Linked DNA regions of Diceros bicornis minor. The protein of the gene in region 2 purifies or fractionates together with the protein of the main gene of each other region. This does not show direct contact. Links are inferred from orthologs where the notes say so. Each region holds a gene or a part of one and is shown on either strand. Other genes may lie near its edges.

The links.
Region 1: the proteins of RHOD (region 2) and DAAM1 purify together in Homo sapiens (affinity purification with mass spectrometry; 3 studies listed by BioGRID and IntAct, counting the BioPlex papers as one, with this or other methods). This does not show direct contact. The link is inferred for Diceros bicornis minor from reciprocal best matches to the Homo sapiens genes RHOD and DAAM1.
Region 3: the proteins of RHOD (region 2) and PLXNB2 purify together in Homo sapiens (affinity purification with mass spectrometry; 3 studies listed by BioGRID and IntAct, counting the BioPlex papers as one, with this or other methods). This does not show direct contact. The link is inferred for Diceros bicornis minor from reciprocal best matches to the Homo sapiens genes RHOD and PLXNB2.

The regions. Positions count from the first base shown.
Region 1 is NC_080763.1:8,995,931-8,999,672, reverse strand, and holds the start of DAAM1 (disheveled-associated activator of morphogenesis 1), read right to left. Parts: upstream 2,378-3,742; 5' UTR 2,270-2,377; intron 2,185-2,269; exon of another isoform or gene 2,125-2,184; intron 1-2,124. UniProt on the Homo sapiens protein: Binds to disheveled (Dvl) and Rho, and mediates Wnt-induced Dvl-Rho complex formation. May play a role as a scaffolding protein to recruit Rho-GDP and Rho-GEF, thereby enhancing Rho-GTP formation. Can direct nucleation and elongation of new actin filaments.
Region 2 is NC_080770.1:6,376,512-6,380,253, forward strand, and holds the start of RHOD (rho-related GTP-binding protein RhoD), read right to left. Parts: upstream 2,798-3,742; 5' UTR 2,790-2,797; coding exon 2,658-2,789; intron 1-2,657. UniProt on the Homo sapiens protein: Involved in endosome dynamics. May coordinate membrane transport with the function of the cytoskeleton. Involved in the internalization and trafficking of activated tyrosine kinase receptors such as PDGFRB.
Region 3 is NC_080764.1:502,839-506,580, forward strand, and holds the start of PLXNB2 (plexin-B2), read left to right. Parts: upstream 1-1,270; 5' UTR 1,271-1,345; intron 1,346-3,742.

The DNA.
Region 1 (3,742 bases), on a different chromosome or scaffold from region 2:
GAAAGAACATTATAAATAGTAATATGGCTGCCTTGCCCACTTTGAAGGATCGCCATGAAGAGCCAGACTATTTTGCTATATACATACAAGTGAGACTCAGAGATATTAACCCAATGGCACAGTGTCAGAAGCTGGGTTTAAACTCTCATCTTCAGATTTCTTCGAGAAAAATAAAAGACACTGAACAAATCCTTCTTCGAGTCACAGGACTTTTATACCTAGTCAACCTTAGGAAACCCTCTCTACTTCTCCCCACATCACCAAAGACCAAGGTTCCCCAGAGGTAAAGGGTTAACCCCAGAGGGCAGTAGCCAGTAATGACAGGGCCAGAGCAGGACCCAGCCTCCCACATCCCAGCCCAGCGGGCTTCAATCTCAAGGACCGGCATCCTCTAGGCAGGCTTTCAGATTCTCTGAAAACCACAAGGGACGGCTGTGACTTCCAGAATTCAATTTCAGTTATTACTTGTCCCTAAAAACTCCCCAGGACTTGCACCGAGGGCAAACTGAGGACCTTTACTGACGGCCCAGGAGCTCTCTTCCTCCAGAACAGAGGAGAGCTCCCTCCTTGAGAAAGCGGCCTCCAACCGGGTGATAGACGTTATTAGGAAAATGATGCAGCTAGCCCGAAGGGGGAAGATCTTTCAACCGTAATTTTCGCAGTTTGCCTCAGGAAAAAGGCTCCAAACAATTATTTCTGGGGAGGGAGGTGGGGAGACGAGCTACGGGCACGCGAGAGGGAAAGGGGTCTAAGAACTGTGTCCAAGCTGTTTACAAGAGAATGGAGAGAACCTCGGGGCTGTGAAACGAGTAAGAAGGAAAGAGCAGCTGGGCCCAGGGCGAGCACTTGACCACACCCACTGGCCACGCCCACCCAGCTGCCCTCAGAGCCACATCGAATCGAAACAGCAGTGGGAGCAGTTAAGATTCCGACGGCAGGAGTCGCCATGGCAACGGGATTCATCTTGCAGACAAACTCCAATTCACTAGGTCCTTCTCGAGCCTCAAGAAACTACCAGCTCAATGGGAGCAAAACGGTCACGGGTGGCATTTGCTCTTGATGCTCTCCTGCGGGCAGAGATGGGGGGCTGGGAGATGCAGTGTAGGTATCCATTCCTGCGCACCCTAAAATATTTTATGGGGCAAGAGACAGAACATCCAACCTCAGGCTGTGAGCAACTTGAGAACCGAGCCACGAGCAGGGTTTGATGAATGAGTGAGTAAGCGAAAGAATACGGTGCTAGGGACAGTGAAAGGAAATCCAGAGGATTTTACAATAGTGTTCTCGCGCGTCACGCACGTCTCCAGTCCGAGAGCAAGGGGATCACAAGCAGCTGGGTTTTCGGCACCAGCTGGGAAAACCCGATTACCTAGCCCTCCTGCCCCAGAGCGCTCCTTATCATTAGATTATTTGACATCCCGCACCGCCTTACCCCCTCCCAGCCCAGGGCTCAGGGCAGACGCTTAGCCCCAGTTCAGGTGCTCTTTGTTGAGGGAGCAATCAGTGCAAGGGGGACCGAGATGCGCCCTCCCCAGAGGGACGGGAGGCGGGAGCACTCTGCTGCGCCTCGAACCCGGGCCGCAGCCTCCCCGCGCCGCCGTCTGCCAACACCCCTTGCTCCTTCCGCAGCGCGGGTTTCCCTCCTCTTTTAGACCTTTAGCGTCCAACTTTGCCTGAATTATAGTCACCCCATTTCTTTCGAGTGAGGCTTGAAGTGAGGGTGCCAAGGACGGTGGGGGGTCCCGCTCCGACGCGGACGGGTAAACGAGTCCCTCCTTCCTCGTCGCCACCTCCGAGTGCACGATTCTCCCTCTCGGAGCCTCCCGGGCCAGCGGCTCCCGACAGCAAAAGTACCCATAATTCCCCAGCCGAGGCCACGACCCCCAGCGCCCCAGCCCCGGGGTATCTGCAGCAAGGTGGCGAGTGGTACCCTGCCGGCTCTCTTGGCATCCAAGCGCCTCAGAAAGAAAGGAGGGAGGGACGCCCGTCCTTGGAGGCGCCTTCCCCCAAGCTCGCCTTGCTTTGCGCGGTGCTTGCAGCCATTTTCCCAAACCCAGCTTGGCAGCCGGGAGCTAGGTCCCGTTCCCACCCAGACGCAACCTGAAGGACGGGTTTAATATTTACCTACTGGCCCGGGAGCTCTGGGCAGGCAGCGAGAGGGCGCGCCGGGAACCCAGCGCCCGGGCCGAAGAAGCGCGCCCACCCCCGCGCCACCGCGCGGTACCACTCAATGAATGAGTGCGTCGGGCCAGGCGGCGCGCCCCCTTACCTGAGCAGCCCCCGCATGCTGGAAAGGCGGCTCCGCGCTCCGGGTACAATGGGATCCGGTTAAATAGTTTCCTTCACAGCTGCTCGTAGGTTACCAACTCGCAGGTGACATCACCCTCTCCTAGCCTGATAGGATACAATGTGGCGCCCATTGCGCATGGACTCCCTGGCTGGGCCCGCAGACTCCTGGGAGCTGTAGTCCCGATCCCTCAAGCAGAGCCGGAGTAGCCCCGCTACTGCGGTTCGCGAAACTACCCTTCCCGACGTAATCATCGGCCTCTTCGTCCCCGCCCCCTAGCCCCGCCCCCGCCGGGACCCGCCCCTCCCCGCCCTCCAGCCTTGCAGCGTTAGCGGTGGTCGTGCAGAAGCGTGCCGACAGCGCTGGGAGGGGTAGTGAGCTCTGCGGTCGTGCCCTTTGACTTGACCTCCACTCCGCCCGGTGCTTGCTCTGAGGGCCCCAAGGGGTCCAGGGCTAGTGCGCACCGGCCCGGCAATTCTGACCAACCCGGCTCTTTGGCCCCAGCTGGAAAGAGAAGATGAAGCCTTTCACTACCTTCACTACGAGTGGTAGCAAATTAATAGGACGCGCTGGTTTCTGGGTTAAACGCGGTCTGGAATTCCCCCGCGTCCCCGAGGGTGAGGCGACGCCGATCCCGAAGGAGAGAAATCCTCGTGTGCCTCCCTTGATACAAATCACCTTTCTTTTCCTCTTTCCTTCTCCCAGTTAAGGGAGTCCGGGTGACCAACCAGAGCGCAGGGAACGGCTTAGTTGGCTCAGCTGACAGAATAACGGAGGCTGTCACTAATAAAAATGCGGTGCAGTAGACTGACATCGCCGCAGCCCTCCGTCCGGGAGCCTGCTGCTGCTGCAGAGATAGTACTATCGCGCGGCCATGCTTTTGTTCTTCCTTGCAGCGGACTTCCCGCTCCAATGGCTCTCAACTCCCGGGAAGACAACATCCTTGTCTAAAGTTTTAATAAATGACATACATATGTATACATGTACTTTTAAATCCACAACACCCTCCCCTCATTTTCCATACCTTTCTCTTCAAATATTTTTAAATGACCTAAACCACTCAACATCCTGCTGTTCAAGAATCGACGTGATCTTAATACATCTAAATGTTTATTTAAAGGTAAGCAAAAGGTGTGTAGTAGAATTGTAAACTTTAGGAAGATTTTATTTTTAATATGTAAAATTTTTCCGTGGCATTTTTCGTTATTCAATAAATACCAAATATTATGAAAAATTAACATGGAGAGCAAATCTCCAGGTCTTTTTAAAAGAAAAACATCAATACACCTAGTTACTCCAGTTGGAAAATAAATTATAAAGGCATTTGATGTCTCAAACATATGAGGATCAGCTCACACCCCTATTTCCACTAGCAAAATCTCTAGAAGACTGTACATTTTGTGAAAAGAATGTTCACAATTAAGATTTCAAAGAATTCTCCACCTAATTGTTGAT
Region 2 (3,742 bases):
ATCCCCATTTTCCTGAGGAGAACAGAGCGGGGAACTGACACACTGGACAGCTGGCTAAGGACGGAGCCCGGACTTTGTGGCTCCAGAGGCCAGGCTCTGTCCCAGCCACCTGCCTCTCCTGAGGTCATCAACTCTAGCTTCTGGTGCCAGGAGTGGGCAGAGAAGGCCCATTCCCGGCTGTGGGGCTGGGTTGCTCCTCTAGCTTGTAACTGTCACAACCTTTCCCCCTCCCCTGGAATGTCATCCTGGAGACTCTGTCTATACCGTCTCTCGTGTTCTTTGACCCCCCAGGCAGGTCACTTTCTGCCTATGGAACAAATAAGCGCCTAATCTTATCTGTTGAGCCGACCTCGGCTGGAAAAGCAGGGACGGGCCTGAGGGAGACCAGGGCAGAGATGACTGAGGCGTGGGTCTGCCCTCCTGGGGGCTCACAGACAGATGGATGGATCATAGCAGGACGGGAGACACAGCTCAAGAGAGGAGGGTCAGGGGTTTCCCCCGGCAGCAATCCCATGGGAGTCCCTGTGCGGACCAGCAAGGACTCAGCTGGTTCTGGAAGGCAGGGCTGGTGCTCCCTGCCCCCTCCGATACCCACCCTTCTGCGGGCCCCTGGGCTTCGGCCCCGTGGGAACGGTTGCTGCCCCAAATGCCAGGACTGGGCAGAGGCTGGCGCCCAGCCTGGAGTCACTCCCTGCCTCAGCTCTCTCTTCTCTGCTCCCCCTGCCCCGAACCCCAGGTTGGGCCACAGCCAGATGAGCGTCACTGAGGCCCCTCCAAATCCCAGCCTGCTCTCTGATCTCTGCTTCAGGCAGGAGGCCTGGGAGATGGGACCCCAAGTCTCGTAGCTGCTGGCTCCCTGGGCTTGGAGGGCTGCCAGGAGGAGGAGTGCAGGGGCAGGAGCAGGAGAAGGCTGGTCCAGCAGGCAGAGTACTGGTCGATGCGGAGAGTGTCCTGGTCAGGGGTGGGGAGACCTGCATTCTAGGCCTGTCCTGCCACTGCTGGGCCTAGTTCCTCGAGGTAAGACTCTGTCTCTCTGGCTTCAGTTTTCCCATCAGTAAAATAAAGGTCTTTCCATCTCTCGGACGTTGTGTTTCTTTTAAGTGAAGAGGTCTCTCTTGTGCCTGGAGGCAGAGAGGTCTCAAGGAATCAGGGGCACCAAAGAGGAGAGGAGCCTAGACAAGGCCAGGTCCATCCTCCCGGTGACAAGGATGCCCTCCCTTCCCCTGGCCAGCATCAGTGTGTCCTTCAACACACACATCTTATAAACTGCAAGATGCCCATTTCCACAGTGTAACCTCTCTGAAATCAGATGGGTCTCACCATCAACGAAGTCTCAGAGCCCAGGACACTGGTGATGAGGTGCCACCCCCGCCAACCCCTCTCCTGGGCCTCAGCTGGCCGGCTCCGCCATGGCACTCTCCCCACCGTGCCATAATTGTTGGGTTCCCATAGGCAGCATCCGGGGGCCCAGAAACACGCCTCCCCCCAACTTAAAAAAATGTGACTGGCCAGAGGAGGTGACGTCAACACCATAAACCACAAAACAAGAGTCGGCTCGATGCTGCCACAGTGGAAAGAAAGGCCTGACACTGTTACCAGGCCTGGCCCCTCCTGCCTCCCCCACTGGCCTCCCCAGTGCCTGCACAACCCCAGGGGTTTGGAGGAGGTGGGGACAGGCAGGACGGAGAAAAGGTGCTGGAAGCAATGCCACGGACTCCCAGAACTGGGCTGGGAGGTGGCATGGCGGGTGGGTCAGCCCCTGTCCTGGCGCCTGGGGAGTCCATGTGGACTGTCAGGGAGCATCTAGTGAAGGTGATATGCCCAGAGCGTCAAGGACTTGCCAGGTCCCACGTGGGGTTGTCTCTCAGCCTTACCTTAATTCCATCTCACCACCACCCTCGGGTCCTCCACCCCATGAGGTTGTGTGAGGGAACGGAGGCTCAGAGAGGCTAAGCAAGGTTCTGAGGGCCACACAGTTCGTTAGAGGAGAGCCAAAGTGCCAACCACCTGTCTGACTGGGGTCTGCTGTGCTCTTGCCCTCCAAGGCAGAGCCCATGGGATGTCCGTTACAGGGGCAAGATCTGGGGGAGAAGAGATGATGTTTCCCAAGAAAGATGTTTGCCACCAGTCCTTCCTCTTGCAGGCTTGGACCTGGGCCCTTGACCATATTAACTCACTCTTCACAGTGACCCTGGTAGGTAGGCGCCATCGTTATTCCTATCACGCAGTTAAGGAAACAGGCACAGAGAGGGTAGGGGACCTGCCCAAGGGCACACAGCTGTAAGTGGCAAAGCCACAATTCAAACACAGGCAACCTGGCTCTCGAGTCCTCAGTCCCTCTTAGCCGCCCTGGGCCACCAAGTGCTCCCCTAAGACCTGCTATGTACTAGGCTGCCTAAGTCAGCCACTGGGACATCTCTCCCAGGTTGGTGCCATTCTTGCCACTTGACCCATGATATTGAGGCCTTCACCCCCCACCCCCCATGGCAGAGAGAGAACTGCCTTTGACCCCACACTCTGCTGGGAGACCCCTAGGGAGGCCACGCGGGCGCATGTCCTCGGCAGCTCCCGCACAGACGGGGCGCACTGGGGCGCCTGGGCGGGGATGGGGGATGCGCGCAGGCCCTGGGCGCCGCGCCGGCGGGGCTGGCACTCACCTCGGGGAAGGCCCCTTCGGCGAAGACCATCAGCAGCGACGTCTTCCCGCAGCCGCCGTCGCCCACCAGGACCACCTTGACCGAGCGCACGCCGGGCGGCGCCTCCTCGCCCACCGCCTGAGCCGCCTTCATCGCGGGGCCGGGCGCCGGCGGCTGCGGCGCAGCGACGGGACGGCGCGGGGAGGCCGGCGGGGCAGGAATGTGGAAGGGGCGGGGCGGCGGGAGGAAGTCGAGCCGGGCGGGCCGGGGCCGGGGCGGGCGGCCGGGCCCAGGTGAGAGGCGAGCCGGCATCGGGGCTGCCAGGCGCGGCGGCGGGGCTGGGGCCCTTCCCCTCCTGTCCCATTCAGCCGCTAAAGAAACATTTATTGAGCGCCTGCTGTGTGTGGGCGCTGGGGCCAGAGGAGGGGAGACCCAGACTTAGCCTCTGTCCTGAGGAGGGCACGGGGATCTGACAGGGAGAAGACAAGGAGCTGGGCAGTGACAGTGTGTGTGCCAAGGTGTAGACAGGGAAAGAGGAGGCACCTGGCCCACTTCCCCTGGGAGGAGGGAGGTGAGGGTTGGCCGTGTTCGCCTACTAGCTTGGTGGGGACAGGGACTGTGTCCCTGGTGGGGCACTGAGCATTGATGAATGAATGAGCATTTCCCCCAGGGCTCTGGAGACAGAGCATACCACAGTCCTCTCTCTGGCTGTTTCAGGCCAGGTAGGAAGGGAGTGACCTGGGCATGTCCCTATGGGTCAGTCGCTGGCACTGCCAGACCTGGCCTGCCTTCGCCAGCCAGCACCAGGAAGTTTCGCTGCAGGCGGCTGACCACCTGTCTCCCCTCTGGCTGAAGCATAATCTGGTGAGAGTGATGGAACCTTCCATCTATAAAGTGCTTGGAGCAGGGTCTGGCATGTGGTTGGTGCCATGTGTGAGTGATTCTTATTCTTTAACCAACACTGATGGCCCCTCTGTGCCCAAAGGCCTGGGGACCCCGAACCGTTCAAGACAGAGTCCCTACCTTGAGAAGCCCATGGCCTCGAATGGGAGACAGGCAGGACCTCATTGTGACGAGAGCTAGAGCAGAGGGAGGGAAAGTTAGTG
Region 3 (3,742 bases), on a different chromosome or scaffold from region 2:
TATTAAAATGTCCTGTGACACAAAGCTTGTCTTGCAACTTCCCTTTTTGATAAAATGTTGGCATCCCTGTCAGACTCTGACAATTCTGGGGTCCCCTGTGGTGGGGGCTTGGGTGGGCTGTGTTGTGGACGCAGCTCAGGGCTGAAGGGGGAAGGTCTGGCCTGGCTGGTGCGAGTGGGAGGTCAGCGAGATGCTGAGAGCCAGTGAGTGCCATCCTGTGGATGCCCCAGTGGCTTCATCTGGCCAGGCGTTCTTGAGCACTTGCAGGAGGACACAGGAGGAAGTGGACTGTCTGCAAGGAGGCCACAAGTCTGGGTGAGGGTGGGTCCCCAAAGAGCACAGGGGCATCCCAGTGTGGGGGTGCAGGTTAGGGTTTGGGGGATGGTCCCTAGCTGATGCTCACCACACCCCATCCTGTGACTGGAGACCTCCTATGTCGGGCAGCGGGAGAGAGCACACAGAAGAGCTGGCCTCACGAGGGTCCCCACCTTCTCTCAAGTTCAGGGGGCCTCAGGGGCATCAGGACCAGGGCAGACGGGCTGGAGTGACCAGAAGTGGAGTGAGCTGAAGTCCAAAGACAGAACTCCCAGGGAGAGGCTCCCTCTCACCACCTACCTCCAGGCACCCAGACACCGGCTGATAGGTCCTGGGTGCAGGTCCCCAGCGGCCCACTGGGGGTAGGGGGAGGAGAAGGGAAGGCAGCTGCGGGCCAAGGATGGGTTGTGAGGGGACTCTTGGCAGGCGCCCCCTTCCCTTAGGAGGTTGGGGGACTGAGCCTCCTGGAAAAGGGTCAAGGCCCAGCAGCCCCCCACCCCCAGAAAGGGCAAAGGTGTAGGCAGCCAGTTCCCAGTCCCAGAGTGGGGGTGCTGGTGCCCCACGCGCCTCAGAACCACGAGGGCAGGGTGCTCTCCCCAACTGCGGAGTGCTGAGGCCTGGGCCTCCCTGTGCCCCGGGACGCTCCGGGGATGGTGCCCAGGCCGAGGGGCACTCGCTGCATGGTGTAAACCTGGGACCGAACCGGGCCGAACCTCCCCAGCAACGCGGCAGGCCCACTGTGGCAGTGCCGGCCCGCCACACCCCTCCCCTCCCCCCCTCCCCTCCCCCCCCTCCCCTCCCCTCCCCCCTCCCCTCCCCCCCCTCCCCTCCCCTCCCCTCCTCCCCTCCTCCCCTCCCCTCCCCTCCCCTGTCCCCGCCCCCCTCCCCCCCGTCGGGGGCGGGGCCGCTGCTCCCGCGCTCCGGCCCCTCCTTGGCCACACAAAGGCCGGTCTCCATGGCAGCCGCGAGGGCCGCAGCGCAGCGCCGATCGCGGCCCGGGCGCCATCGAGCCTCGGCGGTGGACGTGCAGGTACGGAGACTGGGTTCGGGGCCCGCGGGGTGGCTGCGCCGGTCGGGGGTCTTCGCCGTTAGCGCCGCTGCGCCTGGCTGGCGCGTTCTGGGCGCGAGGACCCGGGGCGGCTGCGGCCCCGCGGAGCGCGACTCGGGCCTCGGCCGCCGTCCTGTGTCCCTCGGGCTGGGCCAGGCCGCTCCCGCCGCGCGCCCTCCCAGGGCGGGCGAGGCCTTCGGGGTGGGGGGTTGGGGGGGCGGGCCTGGCCGGGCCGAGGGTCCCCAGCCGGGCGCCGCGCCCTCTCCCGCCGCCCGCGTCCCTTTGGAGCCGCTCGACTCCTTCTGGCTCCTGACCACCCCTCCCCGCCCATGCCCCCCACCTCTGCAGCCACCGAGACCCCGTGCACTGGGCGGAGATCGTCCCTGTCGTGCAAGAGCTCCAGGCCCCCACCCCCCCACCCACCGGGCCGCGGTTCCGGGGTGGCTGAGCCCGGGCTTTCCCCGGGGGGCTGGACCCGCGGTCAGGCCTTGGCAGCCCCCACACCCTCTGGGACTCCTTGTGAGGAGGGCGTGGGCGGAGACCGTCCTGTGAACCCCCTGGTCTTCGCCTGACCAGGCTGTAAGGCGGGTGCAGGTTCCGGGTTTCGGGGGGGGGGGGGACTAGGGGCGCCTCAGACCCTGGTAAGTCCTGGGGGCCTGCCTGGAAGTTCCTGGTGTGGTTTGTTGGTGTGGTGTTTGGGAGAACACCGTGGGACCCAGGAAGCCTCAGAACTGGGGAGGGGAGCCGTGTATTCAGAGCCTGAGCCCTGCCCCTCACCCTCTGGCCTGCACTTCTGCATGCCTCCTCCTGCAGGAAGCTCTCCTGGATGGGCACTTCCCACCATTCTGTGCTCAGGCGGCTTGGCAGATTTGAGGGGTCCCTGAGCCCAAGAGCCCCCGAGCTTCCTGCCATGTCATGTGCTTTTCTTCCCAGCAACTTGGAAAAGGAAGGAAGGATTCTATCTGTGCCTACCATGGCCTGTGTGGGGTCAGAACGGGGGTGAAGCTGGGCCCCAAAGCTCATGGAATGTTCTGGGGTGTGGAGAGCTCCCTGGGCCTGTGCCTACCCTGGGGCACTCCCCCTTTCATGTCTGATTTCAGCCCCGGTGCTCCCTCCCTCCTGGGGCTGGGCCCTCTGGAGGGAGGGGGAACATGGCTGCCCAGAGATGGAGGATCTCAGCCTGACCCCATGCCCAGATGTTACCCTGGCGTGGAGGAGAGATTCCATCTGAGAGTTGGACGGAGGAGACTGGACATCCCTCCTCTGCCCTGAGGTGAAGGTCCCTGGGAGGGCAGGGTCAGCACGGGCCTGGCTGGGTCTGCTGGGTATTTTTTGTGGTGTGTCAGCTTCCCACAGATGACTGAAGACCAGCAGGTGGGCTAGGCAGATCTGAGCCTCCCACGTCCTCCTCCCATACCTACTGGGGGCTCACCTCGGTCTGAGGGGTCAGGGGAGGCCTGAGGTCTGGCCAGGAGTTCCTTGTCCCAGGAGGGGAGGGAAGTCACTGAGAAAAACAAGGGTTTGGAATGTGGTCCCTCTTCTCCCGCCGGCTGCCTGCCAAGGAGGAGTTATTTTGGATTATCCAGCCGCGTCCAGCCACCCGAGGGGGGAGGTGCAGTCGTGGGAGAGCAATCCACTTCCGGGGCCGTGGGTTGGGAGCCCCAGGAGGGAGGGAAGGGCAAGTCTGGGCAGCTCCACCACCTCCCAAGGCTGAGGCTGCTTAGACCAGTCCGGGGTGGGGTGGGAGAGGATGCGTCACCCTTGGGTTGGAGCGGGTTGGAGAATGCTCGAGGTCCAGGAGCGAGCCTGGAATGGGCCCAGGCCCTTCTGGCGGAGGCACAGGGCAGGAGGAGCCCTGGATCCTGTCCTCGGGGCCCGGGGGAGGGGCCCAGCTGTGGGACCCCTTTCAACCCTAGAGGCCTTAGCACTATGGCCTCGAGGCCCTCTGGGGCGCCTCTCCAGAGCCAGGTTTGGGGACACACCTTGGGCCTGAACAGGTAGAAGCATGACTTAGGCTGTTTAGTGTGGGGCACTGGGGTCTCACTCCAGCTGAACCTCAAGCCACCCTCCTTCCCTCAACTGACGCAGTGAGCAGCACTGACTGATGCGCAGCCTCCCTCCAACACCCCCCCGCCCCCAGCCAGCCTTCACCTCCACACCCCCCTACTTGAATGTGGCACCTGTCAGTCCTTCCCACAGGTGAGGGGTCCCACAGATGAGACCAAGGCCAGGGATGGGTCCCTGCAAGGAGCCGTGTGGGACACTCCCTCTGCCGTGTGGGCTTCCCTGGGTCCATGCCTGCATGTGCCCGAGGCCATGCTCCCAGCAGCCCCTGCAGGGACCACATTGGGAGGCAGAGCTGGCAGCTGGGGCAGAGTG